Linked DNA regions of Arabidopsis thaliana. The protein of the gene in region 3 interacts with the protein of the main gene of each other region in a pairwise test. Each region holds a gene or a part of one and is shown on either strand. Other genes may lie near its edges.

Region 1 (7,437 bases), on a different chromosome or scaffold from region 3:
GGTTCAGACATGAGGAGGAGGAACGATGAGAACTCTGTGCGTGTAACCAATCTGTCCGAGGATACCCGTGAACCTGACTTGATGGAGCTGTTCCACCCGTTTGGAGCTGTCACACGTGTCTATGTGGCCATTGATCAGAAAACTGGAGTGAGCAGAGGATTTGGTTTCGTCAATTTCGTGAGCAGAGAAGACGCTCAAAGAGCAATCAACAAATTGAATGGTTATGGTTATGATAACCTCATCCTCAGGGTTGAATGGGCAACTCCAAGACCAACCTAGAAAGAAATGTCTGATGTTGAGACCTTAAAACTCTTCTCATTCTCGTCTTTCTTGTTATGGATTTTTGTTTATCGACCAGTTTGTTTGTTGGTTTGGTTTCTGTATGAATAGATGAGAATTTGTTCAATTTCTCTTTAATACATAAGGCATGCTTTTTAAAAAATGGATTTGTGTGATACGTAAGAGTTTTCCAACACTTTTTTCATTGATGTCTAAAATTATTTGTGATGTTTGTTTAACATTCCCCGTTTCACAAAAATATTGTTTGACTTTTACTTTTTCGTTCTAAGATATCAATCAAAATAATAATCTTTATTAATGAAGAATATAACTAATTAACAAATGTTAGTACGTATATTCTTTTAATTGTAATTATAACATTTTCGTATCATTATGTAAAAATAAGAAAATTTCCTTTGTTAAATTTAGTCGAAAAAGTAAAATTTCCATTTATTTTTAACTGCATATATATCAGCTTAAGTAATTTCTTCTTAGTAGAAGGTCAAATTTTAGAATTTCATTGAAACAATGGAAAAGGTTTCAAAACTCAGTATTATCTTCCGTGACGAACTACAAAACTTCAACAATGACTATGTCGAAAATATAGATGTCGTCGGCAAAAAAACATCTAATTCATCATCGGACAATGAAAGCGACCAATTCGCCAGCTTGTTTGGTTCTTCGTCACCGTCTTCGTTTCAAATGCCTCTTCAGTACCCGAATTACGCAAAGGAACAGTACGACATTATGTCGGAGGAAGAACTCGATCGACTTCTCAAACTCTATGGTCTGCCTACAGATATCGGTAACTTGTCCTGCAAAAAAGAATTTGCAGTGGGTGCATTCTTGTGGGAGACGGGGTTAAATTCTTCTCTGGATGAGCATGATTCAGTAAACCCTAATTCGTCCATTGATGATTTGGAAGAGAGATCTTTGATAGGGTTAGTGACAGTTCTAGTAAAGGATATGGTTCAATTTATATTCCGTGGGTAGCAAGTTAAGGAAGTGAAAGCCTAATTTTGCTTGACCCTAAAGTTTCGTTTCTTGTTGTTTATATGGATGGATTTCAATTATTATGATTTACTATATCATATTATTTAATTTGCTTCGCCGTAAGCTATCGTCTGTTTCCTTTTCTTTTCTTTTTTATCGTCTGTTTTCTTACAACCGAACAAAAGTTAAAACCAAATTGAATAGGGAAAGAAAAATATGGTTTATATATTGCGGTTTGGAGAAACTAGTCGGGACAAGTTTCTTCTTAAACAATATATAAAAAGGACCAGCGACTCTAGCTGAGAGAATAATCTTGTTTTATATGTTTTAAAAACTGTATACCAATGAGAGAAACAAAAGCTTCAAATAAAACTTAGCTAGGACCAAAATCGACCAAGAAGGATAATAAGAGCAAGAGATAGACTTTGAAAACAAAGTAAAATCTATCTAATTAGATATAGAAGCATTATCTAAAAATATAAATAGAGAAATTCTAAAACACAAAAACAGTTTAAAGTTTCTTGTTGGGACCATTCTTCACTATGAAACTGCATCATAAATTCATAATCTGAGAGACTGAGACCCTTTCAAATCATTAAGATGATGATGTTACGTTCTGCTTATGGTGTTCTTATATGGTTTGTATTTGATTAGTATTTCTTTACTTCAGTTATTTAAATTTAAAGTCATTTTAATTTTTTATGCTCTTTAATTCATAAATTCATAAATTCATAAAAGAAAATATTTTTTTTTAGAATGTGTTCTACGTTTGGAATCAAATATCGTCAGTAAACAAATCCTTCTCCGTTTTATTAAACCTTTGCATAATATACAAATTTAAAAATGAAAACAATGATTATAGGTTTTACGGCCTATGCATCTTTTCTTTACCTTTTATCATTGATGGACTACTACAGTTGGTGAAAAGTCTTATTTAACAAATTTAGTCGAACAATTCACTTGTATGTTTGCACCGTTGAGCTAAAATCGTCTACCAACTATATTTGGTTTAAAATGTTATTTTTAACAATTTTAGAGCATTTCAATTGTGTATTTTGTAGTGAATATAGCTATATCTTTCAGGCAACATCGTCAAAAGGCTGACCAAGTTTCTCTATTATGTCCCAAACACATGTAATTAACGACATTTTAAGTTAACTTAAATCTATACTAGCAATGGATTTTATGTAGGAAAAAGTATAAAGTTAGTTGTTTTGCTAAAACTAGACTTATGATATAAAACCAAACTTATTGTTAACATTTTTAATGTAGCACAAGGAACTCACGATGTCATGTAAGCCTTCCTCAATACTATAAAGTAAGAACCATTAGGGACATGAATAGATATTTAATAAGACAAATTGAGACAACATTATGATGTATAGCGAAAAAAGGGAAAGAATAATTGAGAAAGAGAGGTCAACATCAAATCTTGGAAACCAAATCTCACATAGACCAAATAGACACGTGTTGCTATTTGATTGTCACAAGTAGGCATAATCTTATCTAAGCTCCCACTTGTGTTGTGTCCCTCTCAATCCCCAACTTTTATTGTGTTGCCCTCTCACTCTTTCCACAAACCCAACAGGCAACAGCTAAAAAAATCAATCCATCATTATAACATTATGCGAATTCCGATCTAATAATTTTATGGCAGTGCCTTATCTTTTGATGGTGAAATCTCCAAACTTCGACCAATTGTGATGTATTGGATTATCCAATCGAACTTTTCACGCGTGGGGATATAAATTTACCGTAGTTTTGGTTCAAATGTGGTATTTTCATATCCAAAAGATGCTAGGTTTACGAAAAATGTCTTCAACAAAACCCCATAATAATTGTTGGTTTAGAAAACAAAACATAACCTAACGTATGATTAATACCTAACAAACATTAATGTGAAGGGTTTATAAAAACATGATTGAATAGAATAAGATTTTATTATCTGGTCATTGTGGCAACTGGCAAGTGGCTAGTAATGGACGGTTAAAAGTATGTATTATTTTTTGTTCAAGTTGATATTAATTTATTTATAAAAGAATGTGAAGATCATATTCCTTTTTCTTACCCTCCTAGTTGATATTTTCTAGTCAATTTAATCAAAATCTGTTTAATTGATTATTGATTCCGACCTTAACTGACATTAAGCATTCGACAATGTTGCCAGACAAGTCTCTTAACTTAACTATCTTCATTAGTATTAAAAGAATTAATAAATCATTGTACTTTCTAGTTCTTATATTGATTGTCCAGATTAGTCTCTTCCACCAAGATATATATATATTTTTGTTGATTTATGTTTCTAATATTATCCTTGAATCTTTTAATTACAATTATGTGCTAAAATGCCGCGGTCTACGACACGCGAGTCTCCCATACGACCCCATACCAATAAAATAAATAAAATCTTCTTAAGATAGGGGAAGATTAGTAAGTAACCGGTTTGGATTCAAATCATCGTCGAGACTCATACTAAACCAGTTCGGATCGAATAACATTAACCGAAGTTTTAAAATGGTAAATACGCATAATCTGTTCTTTCATTTTAACATTTTTCCCCTCTGAATTAGATTATTACATTTCCAACGACCATACTAAAAGAATACATGTATAATATTACCTGAATAGAAAAATAAGAAAAATACTCAAACTATTTAATCAGCTCTTTTTCTTCCCCAGCCTGAATTAAGAGCTAACTAAAATAGAAAAGAAAAAACACCTTAAAATGAGAAAAACTAAAATAGAAAAATAAAAAGAATACAATTACAATTAGGCTATGTAACAATTATTCTAATACTACTACTAATTATAACACTAATTATTAAGACGACGCTTGATTATTCCTCCTCTTCCTCAAGTCAACCACAACGACGCTCACGTTATCGGAGCTCTGTCTTGCTAGAGCCAACTTTGTTAAGAGCAACGCCGCATCGGAGCACGCATTGTGCGCCGCATCTGAGTCGTCACCCGCACCAGCACCTCGAAGGCACATGCGAGCCACGCCACACGCCGTCTCGTTTGGTACAACATCCCATAGTCCATCACTCGCCAAGATCAAACACTCATCCTCATCAGTTCGATCCGTCACTGTTACCTCCGGATCCGGAATCACATACGGTTTCAAGTAATTATCACCTATACAAACAAAAACAATAATCATCAGATTAAATTCAAACGTGTAATTCAAAATAGCCTAAAAAGTCAAATCACAAGAGAGATTCACTCACCAATTGCTCTAGACATGGCAAGAACTCCAAGAACCCTAGCTCCATCCCAATATATAACTCGCCCACCAGCTTGTTGGATCCGAATCAATTCATCGGGTCGATCCGGCTGTTCATCACAAAACAAAAACTCTTAGAACCATGCCATCTTGATTCATACTAACCAATTCGTAATTCTATATAAGACATAATTTTAACTACCTTGTGATCTACGGAGAGAGGAATGGCTACACCGTTACGACAAAGCACAGCCCGTGAATCACCGCAATTAGAAACAATGATCTTCTCCGGCGTGACAACCGATACAACAGCGGTGGATCCGACGGCGTCACACTGAGGAGACTGCAATTCACATCTACAAGAATTTTTCATACTCCGAGTAGCACCATTAACAACTAAGTTACACTCTCGTTGGCTAACTTCTTTATCCATTTTTTGAAAACTCTTAACCATCGTCTCTGTCCACTCGTCGGAAGCCATAACTTCAACTTCCTTCTTCACTATATCATGCAACCGTTCTCTGCACTTCTCCGCAACCTAAAATCAACCAAACAAAACCCTAATTAGTAACTAATCACAAACAAAAGAAAAAAATATTACTAAACAGAGGAAATTAACGTACATGAGAGCAGCCATGGCCGTCAAAGACACCGTAGAAATGATGATTCTCAGAGTTCCGTTGAAGAAACGAAGGATGAATCGAGACAGCGTCTTCCATGTCTCGTCTTCTACCACAAACCGACGTCGTACCGATCTTAGGTACATCGGAAAAGAAACTCTCTGCTTCCGTAACAGAATTTGAATTCGTAACCGCTGATCTAGCCTTCTTATTCTCACTCCTCACATTCGAATCCAGATCTAGATTTCCCGGTAACGTCGAGAGCACTACTGTCTCACGCTTCTGCCGTTTACGGCAGTTTTCAAGCGGAGGAGCAACGGCGGAGTCAGCAACAATTTTGATCGACGGAAGTAGATCTAACCTCCGTCTAAGAGAAGCTCGAGAAGTTGAATCAACCGGTGCCGCCGGTTCAGTCTCTCCAACAACACCGCAACAAATCCCAGCCATTTGATCTCTAACAAAACTTCTCCAATTTACAGAGCAAACCAAAAACAAACAATCTCCGATTATGAGTCTTCTTCAACAATAGAGAGAGAGAGAGAGAGATATTAGTAGAGAGAGATTTTGTTGAGCGTTAGGAAATGCAATGTGATTTTAAAAAGAAAAGGTTTGATTTAAAAAGAAAAGTTGAAGAAGAACGCAAAAAAAAAAAAGGGTTTGATTTTCGCATGGAAGGGTTACACGTAATTAACGGGCAGGGGGGCATGAATAAGGGGAAGTTGCTGACCGTCAGCATCAACGGGCAGGATCCGACACGTACCGTTTGGTGTGACGTTCCATTTCCTGGTACCTAGATACAATCTAAACCGTCCATTCTTTCTTTTTTCCTAGATCTATACACGTGCCCTTTCTTTCTTTTGGATACGCCGTTAACGTGGCCCAATCACAGTTCGACACACCTTAACGGTAACGACCGGCCTTTCTTGACACGCATGTGGTCCACTCTTTCGTTTTGTTCTTTTTTTCTTTTATTTTGTTTCATTTAAATACGCTTAATACAGTATTATGCTGTTAATTAAGATTTAAATAAGTCAGAGGTCAAAATAATGGCCATGGGAGAGAGACAATCTTGTTATAAAATACTGGTTTTAATTATTTTGTCAACTTTTTTATAAATCAGAATAATCACTATGAGATTAATGTAATCGATAAAATCTCTGATAGTAGAAAATTATACAGTATGAGAAAATGTAAACCCCTTCTTTTTCTAGTTATGGAATCCTGAATGGTGAATACTCTGATAGTCTGATTGGTAATGCCAAACAGAATGATAGGTCAGCCCCACTACCCTTAAAACATATAAGAAAAATCTAGTAATATATACGATATGGTTCATATCATTTCACAAACCTAAGCAACATCAATAATACATTTGAATGTTTCCTGTGTTATTTTAAATATTGAACAAACCCGCTTCAATTTGTACAAAAGCGATGCCTCTGAACGTACTATCAAGTATAAATTTGCTTCTAAAATAACGCATCGTGAATCCGTTCCGTGATTACATATTAATCGAGGATATAATTGACATCCAAACTAAAGAAAATTTGCTTCAGAAATAACAATTTTGATCCTATTTGTACAAGAAATAACAAATATATATATCGTAAAAGGTTGATTGTATTGAATTGCCAAAGAGACTATTTGTACAAGAGATGTTGCCTAAAAGAAGATAGAAACGTATCTAACTGAATCTAGGAGAAGAGAAGATTAACATATATTCTAACTCTGATATTATTTCACACATGCAATTTGAAATGTTTAAACAATAAGAGTATATTTATGCTTGAAATTCTGAAATGCACATAAACGAAAATAAATTGGAAAATAGTTACGTGTATCTGATGAGTTCAAACCTCAGCATCAAACACTTCTTTTTTGGTTTTGAATAATTAAAGGTGGGCATTTGGGTTAAGTTCGGGTAAAACCCGATTAGATATGATTTTTTTGGATATAAAAGTTTAAGATTCAATGGGATAAATCCAAAATATCGGTTTGGTTTAAGTTTGTATCCAATCGGTTTTTAATCGGTTTGGATATAAATTTTCAGGGTCCTTTTAGAACCGATATCCGAATTTTTGAGTAAATACCTGAATTTTTGGATAAAATTTTAGATTTCGAATAAATTTAGATTTTCGAATAAAATACCGGTATTTTCGGATTCGACTTAGATTTTTTGGATTAAAAAATTTAGGATCCAATATAGTAAATCTTCGGGTTCAAGTTTAATTTCGAACCCAATATAATAAATCTTCGGCTTTGGTTTTTTTTCTAGTCCTAGTTTTGATGTTAGAATTTCATAACTTGGAAAACGATTAAAAC
Region 2 (8,764 bases), on a different chromosome or scaffold from region 3:
TTCGTAATGTTACATTTTTTCTTATTACTTGAAGGTTTTATCTTTAAGATGACAAAACAAAGTTTAGTCAATGGAGCATGCTATTGCTAACTAAGACAGCTTTGGTGTTTTTCACAGTAGAAGTAGAAGATGGAGCAGCTAGTGAGCATGGGTTTCTCCAGCGATTTGGCCGCCGAGGCTTTAACGGCCACCGGCGGAGATTCCATCCAGAAAGCCACCGACTGGATTCTCTCCCACCGTTCTTCCCCTCAATCCACGGCCACGTTACAGCCCAAACTCGACCGCTTCCTCCGTCTCCATCCCAAAGCCCTAGCCCCCGCCATGGGTGACGATTCCAGCAAGCGCCCCAATCCCAAAACCCAAATCCACGTCGCGGCTGATGATTCCAACAAGCGTCACAAGCTCTCATCATCCAGCCACCGCCAACACCAGCCATTGTCGGAGCGTATGCGTCCTCGCACTCTAGATGACGTTGTAGGTCAAGACCATCTCCTCTCTCCCAGCTCTCTCCTCCGTTCCGCCGTCGAATCCAATCGCCTCCCTTCCATTGTCTTCTGGGGTCCTCCTGGCACTGGAAAGACCTCAATCGCAAAGTCTCTCATCAATTCCTCTAAGGACCCGTCTCTGTATCGCTTCGTTTCCTTGTCTGCTGTTACGAGCGGAGTTAAAGATGTTAGAGACGCCGTTGAGAGTGCCAAAAGGCTTAATCTTGAAGGTAGAAAGAGGACTGTGTTGTTTATGGATGAGGTTCATAGGTTTAACAAGTCACAGCAAGATACATTCTTGCCTGTTATTGAAGATGGTAGTATCCTCTTCATTGGAGCCACCACTGAGAACCCTTCTTTCCATTTGATCACTCCTTTGCTCTCACGTTGTAGAGTTCTAACTCTTAATCCCTTGAAACCCAATCATGTTGAGACCCTTCTTAGACGAGCTGTAGATGATTCCGAGAGAGGACTCCCCAATAGCGTTGAGGTTGATGATTCTGTCATAGAGTTCTTGGCTAATAACTGCGATGGTGATGCTCGCGTCGCGTTGAATGCTTTGGAAATCTCAGCTACCATGGCTACCACTCGAGCCGGAACTGATGCTGTTGTGTCTATTGATGATGCGAAGGAGGCTCTTCAGTGCAAACATTTGGCATATGACAAGGCAGGGGAACAACATTACAACCTCATAAGCGCACTTCACAAGTCTATGCGAGGCGGAGATGCTAATGCTGCAATCTACTGGTTGGCTAGAATGCTCGAGGGTGGTGAAGAGCCGCTTTACATTGCAAGGAGACTTATAAGGTTTGCAAGCGAGGACATTGGACTTGCTGACCCTTCAGCTCTTACTCAGGCAGTTGCGTGCTATCAAGCTTCACATTTCTTGGGTATGCCTGAATGCAATGTCATTCTCGCCCAATGCACTGCTTACTTGGCACTGGCTCCTAAATCCATTGCAGTTTACCGAGCAATCGGAGCTGCACAGAAGGTTGTGAAAGACTCGGTTGGACAGAATGAAGGGGTGCCTCTACACCTGAGGAACGCTCCAACCAAGTTAATGAAGGAACTTGGCTATGGAAAAGAGTATATATATCCTCCCAGTGATCCTTCTTCTGCTGCAGGTCAGACATATCTACCTCCGTCTCTTCTGCATCATAAGTTCCTGGAATGGCCAGAAGGGGCTTCAGGCGATTTCCAAGATCAAGAACACAGGCTCTAACCAGTATTTTTTCTCTCTTTTTGGTATGTGATGTATAGAGGATCATGTTGTTCAAGTCTTTGCAGAGGCTACACTTAAATTTGTGTTTCCTTTATTGAAAGCAAAAAGGGTGGCAAGAATAGGGTAGTTCTTACTTATTATTCCAGATACAAAATCGAACAAAACTCACTCCTATCTCTGAAAGCGAAAGAAAGTTTCCATAAACCACACAAATAATGAAAATTCTAAGACGTGAATCTATGAACAAAAAATGTTCTTCCACTCTTTCACTGATCAAGACTTAGGTCTCCCCATTGGACCTTGTGTTTTGCGGCTAGATAATGGGCACCGACTGGACCACGACTGCCGTAAGGATAGAATTCTGGGGTTGTCTTCTTTTCTTCTATCTCTTTGAGCAATGGAGTGAAAAGCGCCCAAGCAGCGTCAAGTTCATCGCTTCTTATGAACAATCTGCGTTCACCTTCGATCGCATCTAACAAAAGCCTCTCATATGCATCTGGAATCTCCTTTGAATACCTTCAACAGAAAAAAGTTATGTGAAACTAGATATAAGCAAAAAAGAACATAAGGATTACATATACAAAACAACACCACAGCTTGTCTTTATTATTTCTTAGCTTACCTTGCTGAATAGAGAAGATTTAAGTTACTCTGATCTAATCTCATTCCTAAACCAGGGACCTTGTTGTTGATTTTCAAATAGATAGCTTCATCAGGTTGGACGCGGATGACAAGCTCATTTGTGGTCTGATCACGATCAGTACCAGAATTCCGGTTATATAAATTTCCAGGCACATGCCTGAACTGGACTCTTATCTCCGCACTGTTTCAATAGATATATTTATATTATTACAAGCAAACCAGAAAATTTGCAAAAAAAATTCCAAAGTTTGGTACCTTCGGGTGTTTAGTGCTTTCCCAGCTTTCATTAGAAAAGGTACACCATCCCATCTTGCATTGTCGATGAAGAGTGCAGCAGCTGCAAATGTCGGGGTCAGACTACCTTTTGGCACAGTTTTATCATCAGTATAGCTTGGATAAGTGACTCCTCCTATGCTGTGGCTCTTGTACTGTCCTATCACCACATCTTCAAGTTTTATTGGTCTCATTGAACGTAGTACCTTTACCTGAATTAATGCGAGGACCTCAAAATACTGCCTTGAAATCAACAAAATTATAAGAAAGGGAACAATAGGAGACCTTTTCATTTCTGATATCCTCTGCATCCAAACTCACAGGTGTTTCCATGGCGAAAAGAGCTAATATCTGAAGCAGATGATTCTGCATTATATCTCTTATTATTCCGTAATTGTCGAAGTACCTGGATTTGAAGAGTAGAAAAGTGTCAAAACATAGGCTTCAACACACATGAGAAATAAAATATTAGACAGAGGACAACAAGGATTACCCTCCGCGTCCTTCAGTGCCGAAATCCTCAGAAAAAATGAATTGCACGTTCCTTATATACTGCCTTGACCATAGCGGTTCAAATATAAGATTTGAGAATCGAAGAACCGACAAGTTCTCAACCAGCTCCTTCCCTAAGTAATGGTCTATCCTGTAAAAATCAACTTTTCGTATCAGCAAGGTATCTTAAACCATCATCACTAAAATTTACAATAACATAAACACGATCTCTCCACCTAAATATTTGGTCTTCCTCCAGGTACTGCTTAAGAGACTTTGTTAATGCAGCCGAGGTTTTGGAGTCCCGGCCAAAAGGTTTCTCGACAATGACCCTAGTCCATCCATTGACAGATGAAGCAGATGAGCTTGCACATTTCACCGCGTCAACAAAGATATTTGGAGGGATTGAAAGATAGAAAAGACGGTTCGAAAGTCTTCCACCCTGCAAATAGTTATGTGATGGATAAGGGCAAATAAGAAAGAAAAAATGTAAGAAGACCAAAGTTTTCTAGTTTTTACTAATTTTTCAGAAACAACAATAGTTTTCCTAATTCTGTATTCAGGCCATAATCTACAGCATATCACCTTACACCTACCAAGGTAACTCATGACCTCAATTAGCCTTCAGAAAAATGAGGCAATGATGCAATGTGGTTGCAAGGAATTCATGAGGAATGCAGAAAAAAACAATAAGCTGAGGAAAACATCAATACCTCATGCTCCTTGAGCTTCTCGTCCAATGCAACAAAATGTTCCTGAGAATCATACTGACCCGAATGGTAAAAACATCTCTTGAGAAACTCTTCCATCTTTTCACCGCAGTTTGCCCTGAACCATCACAGTTAAATGTTAAACAACCCATCTCTGACAAAGTACCAAGGGAAAGAAACCATAAGGACTAATGTCTTGGTGGTTTTAAAAGCTACAATAATTATTCACCTCTTATCAATTCTACATGTCAATGTTTTGCTGACCATAACTCTAAGTTCAGCATCTGTCATCTTACTCCTTGCATAGCCAAAAATGGTAAAATGCTGCGACCAAAAACAGCTTACCACATCAATCAATATAACAATCAATCATCAGAAAGAGAGAAAGATAGAAGAAGTTATTTATACCTCAGGAAGACAGCCTTCATAGTAAAGTGCGAAAAGAGCTGGGAATATTTTCTTCTTGGCAAGATCACCAGAAGCTCCCACCACCGTGATACTAACTGTTGAAAGTTGTTCACCGCCATCAGACTCTGCTACAACCTTGTCAGCTTCAAGTGAAGGAATCGTTAACACCCCTACATCTTTCGCCTCCTCGGACGAGCTTGACTCGGTGGCTACTGATCCTAAACACACAATTGTAAGCGCATTAGAGAACATTCATTACATGCAATGTTTTGTCTAAAGTCGGATACTTTCTATAAGAAAATCTATCTAAAACCAAGCTGAACTACAGGATTCAATCCTATATATACAAGCTTTCAAGTTACCGGCAAAGCAAGGCATAAAGAAGAAAACCCAATTGAGAATCCAATTAAAGTTACCATCTTGCACGACAACAGAACTCTGAACGGACCTCCTCTGCGATCTAACAACACAGAGCTCAGCTAGATTAAGCCCCTGAGGAGAAGCGTAGTGGAAGGAGAGTGAGCGGCGTGGGTCAACAACATTGATCAGCGAAGAATGATGATGATTCGACAAGAAAGGAGACGAAGACGAAGTGCGGGAGCGGTAGGTAGGGCAGGAGAGAGACGACATTTTTCGAATTTGAGACGAGTGTGAGTTATGAATTGGATTTGGATGCAAACAAATCTCACAATTGCACTAATGAGCGAATTTGTAAGGACAATTGTCAAATTTTGAGCCTTTTCACGTCTCCCAAAGGTTATGTCTTTGCCAAATCTGTGTGGTTTTGTTGGTATGGTTTAGTGAAAGGTTATTTGCAAATATTATTATTATTCAATTCACAAGTGGCCCTTTGATTTCTCTTGAAACAAGGATTTGCAACTACTATATTGTTGCATTTTCATGAGCTCTTAAAATTGATAAGCAATACTAGTAGTGGCCCTAAGCAAAAAAAAAAAAATATATATTGGAAGAATTAGATTCGAAATTTGGCTATAATGTCCAAGACCAAACATAGATAACCCTATCGGCTTAGGCATGCATTTCTAATAACACACATTCCGATCAATGACTATGTATGTGTTTAAAACATTGCTTTCATCATATCACATCTAACATTCATTGATACATTGCACAAAAGCCTTGATCTTAAACTTAATAAGTTTATAATAATTATTTATACTTGTCTCATGTAAGTTTATAATCTATTTGCTAAATATTTTTCCATTACAATAAAACTATATCATTGAAAGAAGCATTTTAAAAATCATGCATTTTCGCTGGAGCTATTGTGATTTAGCTCATTTGTGAATTGATTGAATTTGTTAAAAAAAAAAAAAAAATCATGCATGTATATGATGAGCGAGAGACATAATAATGATTAATGAGGGTGAAATACATAAACATGAAAAAAGGCTCTATACTCTGTTTCCTCTTATCTGCGAAAGCCATTAAGGAAAGAAACAATAATCGCAGCAAAGAAAACTCTCTCCTCTGCTTCTCTCTCTCTCTCTATCTAGAAAAGAAAGATTCCTCAAAATCAGCCATGAAAGTAATGAAGAAAGGTAAAGTGCACCCATCTCCTCCTCTTCCATCTTCTTCTTCTTCGAATGGAGATGACTCTCTTTCTGTCTTTAAGCTTCTCCAGAGTGCGATTCTAGTTCTAGTCTCGGTTCTCTCCGCCGAAGATCTGGAAGTTCTTGCTTACTTAATCACCAGGTCACTCAACACCACTAACGTCGTATCTTGCAAGAAGAAGAGAAGCCATAAAGCTCCTCTGCTTGACTGTCAATGTTTTGATTGCTACACAAGTTACTGGTCTAAATGGGATTCTTCGTCTAACCGTGAGCTCATCAACCAGATCATAGAAGCCTTTGAAGATCATCTCACCAGGGACGAGATCTCTGCTTCCCACACTTCCAAGAAAAACAAGAAGAGAGCTAAGAAGATAGAGATATCGGAAGAACAACCTCAAAATAAGAGTATATGGTTATTGGTTAGCTAGTTGAAAAACTGTGCTATTTTGCATCAGGTTTTGCATATTCTTTCTTCTTTTGGGTTGGTGGTAACAACCTCAAAAGAAGAGTGTATGTTTGAATATGTCTTAGTTTCGGAAGGTGGGCCAAAAGAGATGTGTCTTTGTTTGATTAGGCACTTCGAAAAAGTCCAAAGAGAGTCTCGTTTAGATATTTTGGGGAAGGAAACACTTTTCCTATCATGTATTCATGTTACTCTATTTCGGACTTGTATTGCTTTTTTTCCGGTGAAGATTTGGTCCTTTTGGTGGTATAAAAATGAAGAAGATCTATCGAAACTCGAGCATCTTATGAGGTAGATAGGCACAGGACGTCGACGGTTAATAATACATTTGCGACCTATCATATGTATGTGGAATAGATGAAACAAACTATTAATTACTAGGACAACTTCTTGAAGCTTATAACTCTAGCAAAAACGCCTTTGTAATGTCATGTGTGGTCTGCTCTCAGCCTCTCAAGTTGTTTTGTTATCTCGAATTGGTCAAAGTCTCAAATCTCAATAACCTTATGCCTCATGGGCATCTTCTTAGAGCATATTCTAAGGCCTTTTTCTAGGCCCAATAAGAAAATTAATAAAATAAAAGTATTGTATGTCAAGTCACTTGAGGAACACAACACTGTCCCTTCGACAAAACAATTTTGAGTCTCTCTATTCTCTATTCTCTCTCCTCTCCGCCTCTCTTTCTCTCTCTCTCTATCTCCGTCGTCGCAAGAGTGCATCATCTTTAACGCCGGCACCTTCCCGCTGCTCTCTTCTACCAATTCTCTCTTAGATCTTCTCATGCGTCTTCTTCTTATATCTTAATCCTTCGTCGTACAAGCTCGCCGGATTGAGTTTTCGTCTTCCATGGCTATTCCTCTCGGGAAGCTCACCATCCTCATCGGTGCAGGTCAGTACTCTTGTGGGGGTTTTCTTTTTTAGTGATTAATTGATCGGTGCTCGTACTCCTCTCTCGGGTTCTCATTTGTTTCGTAGATGGGGAATTGCATTTAGAGGATGAGAAATTAGGGTTTTTGATAAACCCTTTTATAATGATCACTGTTGCTTCACTGTCTTTCAATCATCGAATCTTCTTCAGCTCAAATTTCAAGTCTTTTGATATTTTTTTAGTGTGCTTCACTTTTGGTTTTCATCTGTTTCTTCGACCAATCAGAAATTGAACAAAGGAACAGTTTTTACTCTCTTGTATGTGTTAGGGGAGATTATTCAGCGTTATTGGAGACTAGTTTATGTTTAATTTCGTTGTGAATGCACCAAAGATGATGAATTTACCCTTTAATGTCTTACTGTTTCGATTAATTTTAGTACATATGCTTAATGTTCAATTCACTTGCTTTTACGTTAGGTCTTGTTGGGTCAGTACTTGCTAAAGAAGGGAGTTTACCAGATGTCTCGAGTTTTGTCTCCGGTGCTCTTAAGGTATTCTAAGTTCTATGTTGTGCAAAAGCTTGTATTTATGATGTTTATTTATAAATGGAGTAATGGTTTATTTCTCTTGATAGATGGTATTTAGGCAGCTGAAGCAAGAAGAACCTGCCAAATCAGCCAGCAAGCCCCGCAATGATACACTAATGGCCCAGGTTTTGATTGATATTAAGCTACTTATTTATGTGGATAGGTTATTAAATTTAGCTGGATAAGATACATTTGTGGAGGACTTGGACTTAGATTTACTTGTCTTATCTCTATTTTTTCTTGTAGGTTAACAGTCTTAGGCATGAATTGAGCTTGCTTTCTTCAAACAGACCTATCACTATTGTTACCACAGCAGGATCAGGTCCTCTAGAGATTTAATGTTGGAAGTTTTGTATTCCTTTCTGCTCCATTTTAACAATTTCCTTACAATTTTCCAGGTGGTAAAAAGTATGGTTACATCATTATAATTGGGGTGATAGGCTACGGATATGTATGGTGGAAGGTAATAATATTTCACCATGCTTGAGCTTCTTACTTACTCGATTAGAGTGCTATTGGCTAGTCTAGATTTTGTATTTTGGAAAACAATTTAACTGTTTTCCTTGCCAATTAATTTGACCTGGCTTGTTTGTTTGTAAGTTAGACCTGGTTTATTTGTTTGTAGTTATTTTCCCTTTTTAAAAAACCTTACTGGGAACTGGTTTATTCTGCAACATTCTCAGGGCTGGAAACTTCCGGATCTTATGTTTGCAACAAGGCGCAGCTTATCAGATGCATGTAATAGTGTTGGCAGCCAGATCGATGGTTTTTACACATCACTCTCGGCAAGTTCTTACTTCCCATATTAGTTATGATAGTTCCTTTTGTGAGCCTAATTCATCCAAATGATAAAGTACCTGTATTTAATTTAGTTGCAGAACATCAGTATTTTGTCTCATTTTGTTGCTGTTAACATTTCATGACAGGGTACCAAAAAAGAGTTAAGTTCAAAAATTGACGGGATGGGTCGTAGTTTGGATGCTAATACAGAAATTATTCAAGATACAGGACGAGAGGTATGTTAGATGAATGTGCACAAA
Region 3 (7,203 bases):
TTCAGAATTTTATATTTTTGGTAGCAAACCATGTATATAAACCTAATAAACAAATAGTAAATCGACGTTTTCATTAATTTTAAAATCGTATTTGATAATTTTCAATTACTATATAGAAGATTTTTATCCGCGTTGATGTTTTCAACATTACACACCACTCACACCGAAATGCTTCCAAACCTAAAATCGTAGAAGTTAAAATCATGGACGAAAATATCTATCCCCAATAAACTTTAAGGAAGGAGGCGGTGTTCTTCACGTTACATTGAATTTGGTTTGCCTTTTTCAGACACACTCATATGTATATATTGGATAAATCATCTATTTACATTTTATAGCAAACTTTATATCTTATTCTAATTAGTTAAAGTGTTAGATAGCCCAGCTAAAGACTATATGAAAATACGAACTATCTCCGTTGCTTTTTAAAAGTAATGCATATTATATCACAGCTATGTACGTTATCACAATCTTTTATGCATGTTTATTTGGATTTGAATTATTAAGAAACTAGTTAAATAGTAGTAGTTTATATGCAACATGCCACATTGGAATATACAAACCCCATAAATCGTATCTCTCTGGATTGGTCAGAATTTTCATTTTTTTGACACGGGAATACATATGTTTTCATATGTAAATAAAAGGGAAAAAAATTTCTTATGGGTTTATAAAATTAAAAAAAATGTGAAATAAAATATAAGTAATATAATAATAGTGATCAGAAATAGGAAGACAGAAAAGAAAATAAGAAAGGTGGGTGGGTTTAAATGTCATTATACAAACGACCAAAAGAGGGAAAACATTAATAGCCTCCTTGCCAACTTGCATATCAACTTGCAATTCCTTCCTTCCACGACAATGTTTACATATATATTTCGTACTCATTATGATAATAAATTAATAATCATTTATGTAATCAATTTGATTTTTCTTTAACCTTTTTTTTATTTATGGAATATTTTTTAAAGGTGTCAAAGAATAGTAGCGACTTTTTTTTTTTTCCTTTGCAACTTGCATGCTTTGTTTTTTTTCTATAACAAGTTGGATTTTATTACACCCCAACTTGCATTTTACGTACGATCATATACATGAATGTCTATATATGTATTCAATTTTGAATTTGGTTCACAAGTCTCGAAATCTTACTACTTAATTATAAAGTAACTAAACACATTTTGCTTTTGCAAACTTTGAATGTCTTTTCATCTTGTTCATTGGATTCTTTATATTTATATAACTAGATAAAGTTATTTGATTTTTCAAATGTACATTTTTATTCATGAACTAATATATAGGACAAGGAAATCCGAAAAAGTAATAATTTTGACATTTGAATTATTGAAACGGTTCACGCATCCCAAAACTATAAAAGGAACTAAGAAATTTTATCATTTTGGTATGTAAATAATTTTGATTTATTTTTTTGGTGAGTAAAAACAAAACATTTACGTATTTATGTAAAGTTTGTTGATGAAATGACAAATAATTTGAAAATTTTACGTTTCCAAATTAGGGAATTAAAGATATAATGCTGTATTACCTGACACCATTTATTTTGGCCTAGCATTATATATGCCATAAAGAAAATTCTTAAGATTATATCACATAACTCAATACATGCATTACGCCTTGGTTCAAGTTTAATTATCACTAATTGATATTATTCCATCTTTGCTTTTAGGATTGAACGCTTTGATTATATAGCTGGTGAGCAAATTCATTTAAAACACCAAGTAGTATTCTACTGTTTATACATTTCAATAAAATTCAAATGATGTATAGTTTTACTTTGTTCTTCTCTTAACATAAAGGAAAACGAATCATCTCAATCAGCACATGTATGGGTTTTCTGATTGCCCACAATTGTTCAGATCTCTTCATATATAGTAGATATGCCAATGATTATATTAATCAAATTGTTTGTGTAATACATTATTATGTAGGTTATCAAAATTAATGAAATTAGACATAATAATATCGGAAATATCGTAACAATATACCCCATGCATTATAGCTGAATCACTATATAGTCTATATTGTTTCATGATTAACTAAATTAAAAGACAAATAATAAATATGTAAAATACGGCGCAAGAAGAAGATTATGAAAATAACTAAACAATCAATGTTTATATAATAAAGCTACGAGAGCTGTACAAGAAGAAATGGTTTTAAGGGTAAAACCAAAGTATCGTTGAGACATACATTTAACAGACCCTAAAAACCCTAACTTCGAAAAACCAAAACCATCTTGTTTGATATAATTCTTGTTTTTTGTTTTAGTTTCGAAAAATCCCCGACGATAGTTAAATACTTAAATCTTAAAATCCAAAACCACCTCGAGAATCCCAAAAATAAAAGATAAATTTTGAAAGAGAGAAATATAGAAAATAAAATAAAAATAAAAAGATTGAAAAAATGTAATTACGAGAATTTAGAAGTGTTCTCGGCGAGTTTAGCCAGCGATTGCAAGTTGCACCGTACTATAGTATCAGCAAAGCTACAAGTCTCTTCCTTATCGTTACCCGCCGGTACGTCAACGACGTATGACTCAACGACACGTGTCCTCTTCTTGCCGTCGGAGTCCTCCTCCGACTCATGCACCGTCGTCACCGACTTGTAGTTCATGAGTCTGTGGTCCCCACCAACGACGCTGAAACTGATGACGTGGCGATCATCGTCCATGATCTCAAGCCGCTCTAAGCTAAACGCCGCGGGGAGACCAGAGACGACTCTGACCTCTCTCACCGACCCAACCTCTCGACCGTCTCCGATAACCACGTGGCAGCTTTTCACGAAGTGTTTGTACGCTTGAGGGTGTTCGAAGCGGCTTAGGATCGACCAGACTGTGGAAACCGGAGCCTCCACGTCTTGTACCACGACGGAGAAGCACTGAGAAGGACCAACCACGTGCGTGTGGGAAAGCTCCACGTGCTCCGGCACATCAGCCATCCCGCGCGTGAGGCTCACTTTTTGAACCTGTTTCTGATGGTGGTGGGGATAGTTTCTTACGGTGGCGTTGGCTGCTTCTGCGGCGGTGGAGGATCTCTGAAACTGTATCGACGTTGGCATTATTAAAGCAAATCTTTTCTCTATATCTCTTTTAATATTCTTGGCTCTCTCTAAGAAAACAAATGGTTTTCTTCGTGAGGTTGTATTAATGAGAGATATTTACATGTAATATACAGAACTATATAAGGACAGAGTGTTTATATATAAAAATGCAAGTATGTGGATTAGGAAAGAGAGTTAGTTTGTGTGGGTTCTTCGGTTGTCCACTTGGGATTTGTTTGGAGTTTGTGTACTGCTTCAGTTAAGAAACGTCTCTCTCTTTCTTTATATCAAGGACCGGCCCGGTTTCCCATGAAATTCTACGGACTGGTTCTCGATATTTAATATAACCGGTTATTAAATTTTAATTTTGTTTTTCCTTGCTTTGTTACTGAGGCTGTCTATTTGTCAATGGTGCTATATATTTCACCAGTTTATTACAATGAATGAGCATGTTGTCGTAACCACACAAGCATTACTATAATTAGAATGGACGTTTTTATGTTTTAACCAAAAACACTCTTGAATGAAAGTTGAGAAAATGAAATCAATATCATTTAAGATACCGAGAAAAAAATTCTGAACTCATCTCTATCTCACCGATTATATCAATATTCAGAATATAAAAACATTGAACATTATCTTTGAGGTTTTGCATAGATATTTCAATCTTCTACTGTCTCGAGGCTATATATATAGCTAACTCTAAAACGTTATTAAAGATTATAAGAACATGATCACTATGTGTCGAGTTGGTTAAGCTATATATATTGGTTAAGAGCTATACTTAATTTATGCATAGGTTTGAAAAAATTCTTGAAACAAATTGGTTGGGAGGACCGACCTTTGTCTTTGTGATTGCCGATCTATTTTCAGTTGGTACTATTCTTGGATGCGTTTTTGGTGGATTTTTAATTTTGTTGGAACCTTCTGACTAAGGTAAAAATTTCAAAAATAACTCCATAGGACTTTCAATGTTCCAAGTTGGTGAAGATATCATGTCATGGGTCCATCATAATAATCTTTCCTCATCTTGTAATCAACTTGAGCCTTTCGACGATACTAAAAAAAGTATTAATCAAATTCCTTTTCAACAAAGAAAAGAACAGAATATTAATAAGACGAATTAGAAGAAAATCAAACTAAGCAGTTTGCTAAAAGTAACCAACGTAAAGTCAGGGAAATTTACGAATTGGACAATATTTCTTGGGTGTGTTTTCTTCCACAAACGTATATTCAAATCATATGAATATATTGGACTCTTGGATTTGAGTGGTGGGCATAATAACAAAACACAATTGGGAAAAATAATAAAGGGTTATCTAATGCATTAGTTTTTCCAACAACTATACATATTCCCAAGTAGCCCTAGTTGTTAAGATTAATACGAATAAGCGAGCAATTTGCAGTACTAATTATATCTGACATTTTATAGAATAAGAAGGACAAAAAGTTACAATTTGCTATTTTTTGCACCATCCTCGATATAAAGATTGCTCATCTTATAAGCTTTCGGGTTAGGTGACATAATCACTCACCAATATATTACTGAACACAAATAGATTACAAGTTGATGTGGAAAATGTATTAATATTACGGTGATACATTTTTGGGTTCAAAGAGTCAATCTCAAATCAATGCATCAGACGTATTTTGTTACAACAACATAATTTGTGCCAACTTTTTTTTTTGTCAAAACATGTATTATATATCCAAGATTTAAATTCCAATGGTGAGATAGTGACAAACATTAGTATAAACAACTCGACTCCATGTCATTATTATTTTTGTGCAAAAGCCGGTTGTTTGTTTGTTTGTGAATATTTCTCGAGAAATAAATCTCCAATATGCATAAAATATTATTCCACCTAAAATTATTAAATCCCCAACTATGATTATAAACAAAATGCACTTAAAATTTCAAAAATAAGTATCGAAAAAATCAAAGATAAGCTTAAATTTCGATAGATATTTGAATGAATCAGATTACAACGTGATATTAAGAGAAGATTATCGATCAAAAAGTAATTAAAAGGAGAAATTGTCCAAAATAGTTGCATCTCATTCTTGCGGAGAAGAGGACACATTGTCAAAGGGAACTTGTGGAGGTGCAATACCCACCAATTCATTGGATTTAATTAATTAACAGTTTGCCAACTTGATTTCTTCATTTTTCTAAAGGCTTAGAAGATCTTCAAGATTCGAGCAAGAAAAACGATTTTGGAGACCAGAATGGAATAGTTAAAGCCTTTTAAATAATATACAACTATGTCCCATTTGCACTTTCAAATACCCAATTTGCCTTTTGTAGAAAATACAGATAGATAACTCTCTAATGATAACTTTATTATTCATACCTCATTGCTTATGTAATCTCAGACAACCTGAGGAAAGTCTGCAGACCAAAAAACTCCACTACTGGATATTTCCATTAAACTAAGCCAAGTTTCTTGAATAATCAAAACTTGCCAAGTCAATAAAACCACTACGCAACATCGCATTATTCCATCTCCATTCTTAAGGATGAAAATTAGATGTGAGAGTATCCAAAGTTCAAAGATCAAAACTTTATAGCTTATATGCATCCGAAGTTCAAAACTTTGATATGTACCGAATGTTATAAACTTTTTCTAAACCCAACGTTTGAACTTCTTCATATGTCATATGTATTCACAAGAAAAAGAAAGAAGGAATCATATTTGAACTTGTCCTACATTACCTAACTACATGTACTACGTCTCACAACCATTAATATCAGAAAGTATCAGTAGCTTCAAAGAAGGGCAGCTTCTAGCTAGTAACAGCTACACCGTCTCGGAGCAGAATCACAAACTTAGGCCAGTCAAACGAAATTTGAAATCTTATGTAGATCCATGAACATCTTTGTCTCCTCCAAAATCCAAGTCCTGTATGTCAAGATCATTGAACCTGCGATGGTCTAAATCAATACCATAGTTCTCCATATCACTGGGCTGCACATAAGGACATCCATAATCAACTCCTGGTTGAGCAATCTCCATAGGGTTGAGGCTCCCGAGCAAGTTAGAATTTGGAAACTGCGTTTGGTAACTGAAATTTGGGTGTCTATCCACTTGATACTGCATTGTCTCTTGACCAGACACATTGTTGTCGTTTAATATACCCAATAGCTCATTAATATCAAACGTTTCATCCACACCAAACTCCAATGGTTCTTGTTCATTGCCATTTCCCATCAACCAAGCATCCAAAGTCTCCCTTTTCGAGTCCTGTCCAATTCCAAAACCAACAGCCAAGTTATGTTCTTCCCTCACTTCCTCTTTTCCTTTCAGCTCCTCTTTAATACACTGAGAACTATCTAAGAGAACATATTCATCGCTACAATCCTCTAGTTTCACCTGACCAAAACCTGAACTTGCATTTGTATCCTCACGTGCACAAACTTCAGATTCATCAGAAAATGCAGTAACCGAGCCTGACACAGTGGCAGTGGCAGCAGTCGAAGAAGAGCGATTTGTGATCTCGGGAAGATTGAGTCTGGCAGACTGACCATATATAGCTTTGGCCGCCTCGTCATAAGCCAATGCAGCTTCATATGAACTGGAGAAAGTACCGAGCCACAACCTAGCACCTCCGTCTGGCTCACGGATCTCAGCAACCCATTTACCCCATCTCCTCTGTCTAACTCCTCTATAGTCACAAATCCCGTTTTCAGGTCCACCTTTACCTTTCATACAACCCTTCCTCGAACCTTTTGGAGGAGGCTTTCGGATTGATTTTGGACCACCACCATCGATACAAGATTCTGCCTCAATCTGCTCATTGTACTCTCTCCATTGCCTTAGAATCTCAGCTACATCTCGTGTTCCACGAGACTTCCTTTTCCTGGTAGAATCAAAGGGGATAGAAGCAAGATTAGCAACATGCTCGAGAACTCCAATTTTCTCTCTTCACAAAATTTCAAGCAACAGGTTCAACTATACTTCGGATCAAAGCACCTTTCAAAGAAACAATTTTTAACCACCTGAACGTAATTACACCGAAGTAGCTACAAGAAGAAGTTTTCATAATCTGCAGCATCACAGCGAGCAAGAAAGAAACTCCATCACGAACAGATTAAGAAACTAGAACAGAGCAAACTCAGAAACAGAGAATCACCTAAAGATTCAA
Region 4 (7,223 bases), 4.2 Mb from region 3:
CGGTCTCTGGCGACTTGAGTGTACTGCATTTATGATACAAGTGTAGGTACGGGATTAGTATCTGCCGTGTTAGGTTGATTTTGTGTTTGTCGTCTGTGGTCCATCGTATTGTATTGTTGTGGTCCCTTTATGTTGAGATTGAATTGGTTTCGTGTCGATTGCGTTGTGGTTTCAGATCTGGATTTGACTGTTCTAGTTACAGATTATTACTGATTTCGTATGTGATCTCTGTTTGTGCTTGTATTTTTTTTTGGAATTTGAGTGGGATTTATGTATTGTTGTTGGAGCTTGGACTAGCTTAGAGGATCTGTGATTGTGATACGTGTTGATAAGCAATAGGTTTTCCTTGAACGTCTTCTTAACTTGCTTTTCTGCGTGAGTGACTGGATGGATGGTGTCAATGATATACAATTGCCTTCAGTTTTCGTGGAATTGAACAAATTTTATCTCCCTTTGGCAATCATGTTTAGCTCTTTAGTTTGACAGTTCTAGCTGTGACACTGACCCTTCTTTGTGGCGATGATGCAGTACCTTGTTACGCATTTCAGTGACTTTCAACTGGCGTGTATTGGGAGTTTTATACTTCATGAAAGCGTGTTTTTCTTGTCTGGACTCCCTTACATTTTCCTAGAAAGGACTGGTTTTCTGAGCAACTACAAAATTCAGGTTTGTCTTTTCTTCTCATGATTCAGTGGTCTTCTAACTAATAGCTTTGTGTGTCTGTTCAAATATAAACTGAATGGAAAGATATCACCAAGTTGTCAGTGTTCTCATTTCCCCAATGGTAATGTCAAAGTGATAACTGGTTTAGCTTGTCTTCTAGATTTATCAAGTACTCTTGTTTGGTCTTTTGCAGACCAAAAGTAATACTCCTGAAGCCCAGGGAAAATGCATTGCTCGACTATTACTTTACCATTGCTGCGTAAACTTGCCCCTCATGATGGCGTCGTATCCTGTATTCAGATTCATGGGCATGGAAAGCAGTTTTCCTCTGCCGTCCTGGTATTATCAGGTTCTTTAGTGCTGAAAGCTTTTTTTGCCTTTGGGTTCTGATGTTAAACTCTTCCAATGGGCAATATATATAAAATGTCAGTGTTGAGCTGCATGAGAAGAACCTGCATTATGTTTGATCTGGTTTATGAAACTATATCTGGTGACGCTCTTGCAGGAAAGTGGTGTCTGCCCAGATCTTATTCTACTTCATCATTGAGGATTTTGTATTCTATTGGGGTCACAGGATCTTGCATACTAAATGGCTCTACAAGAACGTGCACAGTGTGCATCATGAGTAAGCTATCAGTACTCACCATCTTTTTTGTGCTTGACAATGTTAGTTCACTCATGGTCCTCAATAAACAATCTTATGGTATTACTTATATACAGGTACGCGACACCGTTTGGTTTGACATCAGAATATGCTCATCCCGCTGAAATTCTGTTCCTTGGTTTTGCTACCATTGTTGGTCCGGCTCTCACCGGGCCTCACCTGATCACCCTTTGGTTATGGATGATGCTCAGAGTTATTGAGACAGTTGAGGCACATTGTGGTTATCATTTCCCATGGAGCCCCTCGAATTTTCTTCCTCTATACGGCGGGTAAGATAAGACTTCTAACCTGTGATTGCCTTGAAAGAGCAACACCTTAAACCTAACAGATCTTTAATATTAATGTGGGAATCATTTGCTTACAGTGCTGACTTCCATGACTACCATCATCGATTACTCTACACAAAGTCTGGCAACTACTCATCAACGTTTGTTTACATGGACTGGTAAATTATTGAACTCTGTTTCTTACTTTAACAGAAGTCATAACTATAATAAACATGTAAATATGTTTATCTATGTTACTTCAGGATCTTTGGCACCGATAAAGGTTACAGAAAACTTAAGGCCCTAAAAGAAACCTGACAACAAACAAACGTGAAATTCGATTCCCGAGAGAGGTCTTGTTCTCAAAAAACCTTCTTTCTTTTGTTTTGTCTCTACCATTTCCTCAACTTTAGTCATAAGAACATCATTATTTGCTACAATTTGGGTTGTACAATCAAAGCTGCTAGTCTGAAGTCGATTCGATGTTGAAATTTATACGTGACCTCGTTTCTATTGGACTTGTTGTTACTACTGCTTACTGTTTTTCTTATTCTTTAGATACTGCTAATACTCATAATTGCATTTAGAACCTATGATCTACTCTCATGTCTTTGCCTAGCGGCAGAGACTAAGTACCTCTTAAAGTATCTTAATGCCTAAAAGTAAAAGGTATAGTATAGTCTGACAATCTTTTTTAAAGCAAAATGCTTTTACATGTCGACCTTCTTAATTTGATTTGATTTAAGATTATAAGCATACACGAAACAGGATTAGGGTTGACAAGAATAATTCTTATCATTTCTATTAATTAACCCTTTTTCGGGGTTTCCATAAAATCGGGTTAATTTTGTATACAACCAACGTATTCCAAGAATAACCAAAAAGCAAAACTGATATAGAAAGTTAAAGCAAAATTGTCTTCCTCTTCGACTAGTGTCCACTTACGTGTCCTTATCTTCTGAGATCAATCACAACGACACTGACGTTGTCACTACTGTTCCTTGCCAACGCCAGCTTTGTTAGCAATACTGACGCTTCCGTACAAGCCTTGTCCGAAATCGCCGGATCCTCATTATCTTGTCTTCTCCCACCACCACGGAGACACATACGCGCTACAGAGCAGGCGGTCTCGTTTGACACAACATCCCATAAACCATCACTAGCTAGTATGAGGCAGTCATCGTCTCTCCTGTCCGTTATGGTTACCTCCGGCTCGCAACTCACGTAAGGTTTCAAATAGTTGTCTCCTATTGCTCGTGACATTGCTAAGACTCCGAGAACTCTTGGACAGTCCCAATATATGACTCGTCCACCAGCTCCTTCGATTCGATCCAATTCGTCTGGCCGATCAGGCTGTGTTTCATTACAAAGAACACAATCTCCAAGTTAATCCACAAATCCAATCATTGCTTAAATGAAACTGAACATGTTTTGAACGGAACTGACCTTGTGATCGGTTGATAAAGGGACTGGTTTCCCATTGCGGCAGAGAACTGCTCTGGAATCGCCACAATTGGCGACAACGATCTTATCTGGCGTAATGACTGAGACAACAGCGGTTGATCCGACGGAATCACAAGCCGGTGTTTGTAGATCACACTTGCAATTTGCAGTCACGACGGAATCACCCCACGATACAACTTCCTTATCCATGCGTGTGAAGCTACGCTCCATCGTCGTTTTCCATTCTTCTTCATCTTCCATATCTGAACTTAGTTCTTCTTGCACCAGCTTGTGAAGCCTCTCTCTACACCTTGCTGCAACCTAAGGAAAAAAAAAAGATTTCGTATCAGCTAAAACTGAAAACATAGAATTTCGGAAAACGTAAGAATGCATGGTAACGGAGTCGTACGTGGGAACAACCATGGCCGTCATACACACCAAAGTAGTGTTGAGGAAATTCCGAATTCTTCGGAGAAGAAAATGAAGGATGAATTGCCACCGCATCTTCCATCTCTCTTCTTCTACCGCACACCGAAGAAACACCGTATCTTGGACTGGATACGTCGACATTTTGGTCAGAGAAATCCTCCCGAGAGCTTCGAGGAATTGAAGAGTATCTCGTAGCTAAAGCCTCCTGTTTACTACGCTTACAATTCTTCTCCCAATCTTCATGCATCACCGTTTGGAATCTCGGCCTCCGCCGTGAATGTGCCGGCGTTGATTCATAAACCGACGACGGACATGCGTCGGTCACTACTTCGTAACATATCTCGGCCATATCCGGGGAAAAAAACCTTAAACTTTGATGTCTTCAAATGGATTTTGCTCTGTATTTCTGATCAAGAAGAACAAAACTCTTTCTTAGATGTTTCAAGAAATGTTTTCTTTTTTGATGAACTCTTTCAAGAACTGGTGATTCCTGTTTTGGTTGCTTCACTGGTTAATAAAAATGCTCGAAAACCATTCAATTTGAGAAATAATGTCATTACACGTTACTTGCATTCTCTATTTTATACACAAAACCTGCCTCTTCAGAAACAATTTTAAATTCTTTCTATAAAAAAAGTAATCCACGTAAGGCGTCAGTATCGAGTGCGAGATTCGTGGTCCAATCAAATTGAGACGGCACGGATGACGGATCATAGGAAGTTTCCTTTCGCGCCACGATGCTTTTCCCCGCAAGGTAGGTTTTGTTTTCTGTATTTAAATAACTAGAGGAATTTCATTACGTTAGTTTTCACATTTGATTACATGAATAACCTAAGTTTAGGTATAAATCAGTGTTTACTTTCAAAACCTAACAAGTTTAGTGCTAATAATTTATGTTTGTCCCTAGACAGTAAACACGTTAACAAAGAAAACCTTAATAAACTTATATCTGAATTTTTATTATTATTGTCTTGAGAGTCCAGAGAATCATCGGAAATATAATATGTATGACTTATATGACAGTAATCAGCTATGTTGTGATGGCAGTCTGAACAATTATTAAACAAATTTATCATCGACAAAGCAATTTGAATTCTCATCGTCCAAATATCCAAGAAATGCGATAAAGTTTTATATACCCAAGAAGATTAAATAACAAGTTACATATATAGTTTGTTTTTGAATTTAGAAAATTTAAGGAATATTTTGTTTACATGTCTATTATTATGAGTCCTTGAATATGATATATGAGTATGTTTCCAACGACATGTCTTTTAGTTTAGTTGATATATAGAAGAAACTTGTTTTGTGCTATGCGTGAGAATAATAATAATAATAAATTTATATCAAATATATATATATATATATATATAATTATGAAGATAATTCTTTCTTTGTTTTGTGTTATGCGTGAGAATAATAATAATAAATTTATATAAATTAAAAAAAATTATGAACATAATCTTTACTCCTTTAGCAAAAGTAATCTTTTTAGGCTTTTAGCCATAACCCCCTAAAGATAGGGATACTAGAGTTGAAAATCGTACGGTCATCATTACATGACTATATAATCATATATCATAAGTAGAATATATACAATAATTATTTTATATATCAAAAGTCACAATACGATTGGAAACGAACAAACATCAAATGTGAACACAAGTAACTTCTTATCCGATAAGATAAAAGATTGAGTTCTTCGTCCAAACATTAGAAGGCATGAACGGAGTGAGCTCCCTCAACATAAGTTACATATAAAACTTGTATGAATTAATATGCAGTGAAACCACTAATTAATCACATAAATTTAAGCATGAATATATGCATATATACGTGTTTAAGGCAAAGAGAAGCCGTTAATAGTGAAACCTCCATCAACGCAAATGGTTTGACCTGTTATATAAGAAGCTGCGGGAAGACATAGAAATGCAACAAGCGATGATACTTCATTTGCCTCTCCAACACGTCTCAATGGTGTCACACTCTCCACCTTTTCTTTTACATCTTTATCACCGAGGAACTGAAACATTTTCACATAAACTTCGTAAGAAATAGTTAAACCATTTTTTCATACTATAAATGAAATGTATTTTCTTATTCATTGTCTTACATCTTTAGTTGACGGAGTTGTAATGAACCATGGACAAACAGAATTAGCCCTTATATTATCACTCGCCCACTCGCATGCTAAATTTCTCGCCAGCTGATTCATGGCTCCTAGAATGCGTATACATTTATTTAAGTCGCGATAGAAGCAAAGAATCATAAATTGTTCGAGTATGCGTATAATTATACCTTTGGTTGCTCCATAGATTGATGTATTACCCAAATTTACAACTCCAGCCACGGAAGACATGAGCACAATGTTCCCTGAACCAGAGGCTTTCAATAAAGGATGCGCGAGTTGCGAGAAATGGAAAGTTGACTCCAGATTTGTAGCTATTATAAATGAGAACTCTTCTGCTGTACACTCAGTCGTCGGCTTTAGTACACCTATTCCCACATTGGGTACCTATACAAACGAAGCAAACAAAATTCAACATGATTTTGGTCATTGTCGATCCAAGCTCATAGACGAGGAGGAGGAGAAGCTTATATATATACACACACACACTTACGAGGATGCTGAGTTTTCCTTGGAAGAGAGAGGAAACAGTTTCCATGAGTTTCTCTCGCTGGTCACGAGAAGAAACATCGCAAACAGAAGTGGTGACTTGTAACCCTTTTGCTTGCCATTCACGTAAGCTTTCTTGAAGCTGAGTTTCGTCTCTGGCACATGTGTGAACTCTTGCTCCCAACATGGCTAGTTCCTCCACCACAGCTTTTCTATTTATACATCAATATGAATTTATACATATCATTAAGCCTTTGATCTTTTCAGGGGTTGATTTGATTAAACATAGAAATACTATCAAAAGATCCACATAAGTCTATGATTGAGCCGTATTAACAAATAAAACGAAAGTCTATACATGATTGAAATCAGAGCTCAGTTTCGGTACTGAAATTATAGGGAAGTAAGTAATTAAGGTAGAAAAATTGGGACTGACCCGAGGCCTTTAGATCCACCGGTAACAAGAGCAGTCATGCCTTCAAGACTCCATTTAGGTTTGTCTCTCAAGCTTTCCCCTCTCTTTGCCATTTTTGGTTATCAGCCACAGAGCAGATATCTATTCATGGAGATTCTTATTTGTAACTCGGTATAGGAAAAATTATAGACCGTTTATACATATTATAATATCACACGTAACCATGCAAGTGTGTTGTAAATGGGGACAAAATATCGGATTCGACATCATTATTGGATGGTTGGTTGTACCAGTCCAGTCGGTTGAGTATTTAAAACTTCATAATTTTATTAGAACTAAATACAAAGTTCATATTTGAGAGTGGTAAAAAATGAATGTACAATATAAAAAACGAAAAGGATAAATAATAATTAGACATATGCTTAAACCTTCCAATTTACAGGTTTTTTTAGATGTCAACTGTCATTATAAATTCCAAAGTATCTGTGTTTGGATATATTTTGAAGTCATATACAAACTATTTAAATAATAAAAAAGGCACACTTAGCCTTCGTTTCTTCATTTTCTATACAATCATTTTCATATTGAGATACAACAAATAAAAATGTGAGCACCTGACTTTGATATATGGGACAACAAACAAACATCTAGCGTCAAAACGACCAAATTACTTATGGTTTGTGAGGAAGCCTTAGAAGGCATGTATGGAGAGATAGGCAGCTAGCT

What was found.
Region 1: the proteins of PYL6 (region 3) and PP2CA interact in binary tests that used the Arabidopsis thaliana proteins (3 or more experiments, as listed by UniProt).
Region 2: the proteins of PYL6 (region 3) and G6PD3 interact in binary tests that used the Arabidopsis thaliana proteins (3 or more experiments, as listed by UniProt).
Region 4: the proteins of PYL6 (region 3) and HAI3 interact in binary tests that used the Arabidopsis thaliana proteins (3 or more experiments, as listed by UniProt).

What each region holds. Positions count from the first base shown.
Region 1 is NC_003074.8:3,580,088-3,587,524, forward strand, and holds PP2CA (protein phosphatase 2CA), read right to left. Parts: upstream 5,764-7,437; 5' UTR 5,563-5,763; coding exon 5,119-5,562; intron 5,034-5,118; coding exon 4,698-5,033; intron 4,606-4,697; coding exon 4,500-4,605; intron 4,408-4,499; coding exon 4,094-4,407; 3' UTR 3,695-4,093; downstream 1-3,694. Other genes in the region: EIF3G1 (eukaryotic translation initiation factor 3G1), read left to right, coding at 1-279; AT3G11405 (uncharacterized protein), read left to right, coding at 808-1,272. UniProt on the Arabidopsis thaliana protein: Major negative regulator of abscisic acid (ABA) responses during seed germination and cold acclimation. Confers insensitivity to ABA.
Region 2 is NC_003070.9:8,605,593-8,614,356, reverse strand, and holds G6PD3 (glucose-6-phosphate dehydrogenase 3), read right to left. Parts: upstream 5,020-8,764; 5' UTR 4,863-5,019; coding exon 4,649-4,862; intron 4,451-4,648; coding exon 4,233-4,450; intron 4,149-4,232; coding exon 4,054-4,148; intron 3,943-4,053; coding exon 3,828-3,942; exon of another isoform or gene 3,557-3,827; coding exon 3,351-3,556; intron 3,266-3,350; coding exon 3,116-3,265; intron 3,029-3,115; coding exon 2,908-3,028; intron 2,835-2,907; coding exon 2,605-2,834; intron 2,531-2,604; coding exon 2,330-2,530; intron 2,224-2,329; coding exon 1,974-2,223; 3' UTR 1,777-1,973; downstream 1-1,776. Other genes in the region: AT1G24290 (AAA-type ATPase family protein), read left to right, coding at 130-1,707; AT1G24270 (uncharacterized protein), read left to right, coding at 5,614-6,234; AT1G24267 (bZIP transcription factor, putative (DUF1664)), read left to right, coding at 7,116-7,158, 7,615-7,688, 7,772-7,849, 7,971-8,046, 8,123-8,187, 8,408-8,509, 8,651-8,740. UniProt on the Arabidopsis thaliana protein: Catalyzes the rate-limiting step of the oxidative pentose-phosphate pathway, which represents a route for the dissimilation of carbohydrates besides glycolysis.
Region 3 is NC_003071.7:16,842,750-16,849,952, forward strand, and holds PYL6 (PYR1-like 6), read right to left. Parts: upstream 3,446-7,203; 5' UTR 3,076-3,445; coding exon 2,428-3,075; 3' UTR 1,839-2,427; downstream 1-1,838. Other genes in the region: DREB2C (Integrase-type DNA-binding superfamily protein), read right to left, coding at 5,916-6,918, 7,058-7,101. UniProt on the Arabidopsis thaliana protein: Receptor for abscisic acid (ABA) required for ABA-mediated responses such as stomatal closure and germination inhibition.
Region 4 is NC_003071.7:12,605,446-12,612,668, reverse strand, and holds HAI3 (highly ABA-induced PP2C protein 3), read right to left. Parts: upstream 3,995-7,223; 5' UTR 3,815-3,994; coding exon 3,446-3,814; intron 3,358-3,445; coding exon 3,040-3,357; intron 2,947-3,039; coding exon 2,545-2,946; 3' UTR 2,319-2,544; downstream 1-2,318. Other genes in the region: SMO2-2 (sterol 4-alpha-methyl-oxidase 2-2), read left to right, coding at 529-666, 857-1,002, 1,169-1,288, 1,384-1,596, 1,656-1,772, 1,857-1,911; AT2G29370 (NAD(P)-binding Rossmann-fold superfamily protein), read right to left, coding at 5,306-5,488, 5,579-5,685, 5,764-5,980, 6,087-6,294, 6,519-6,610.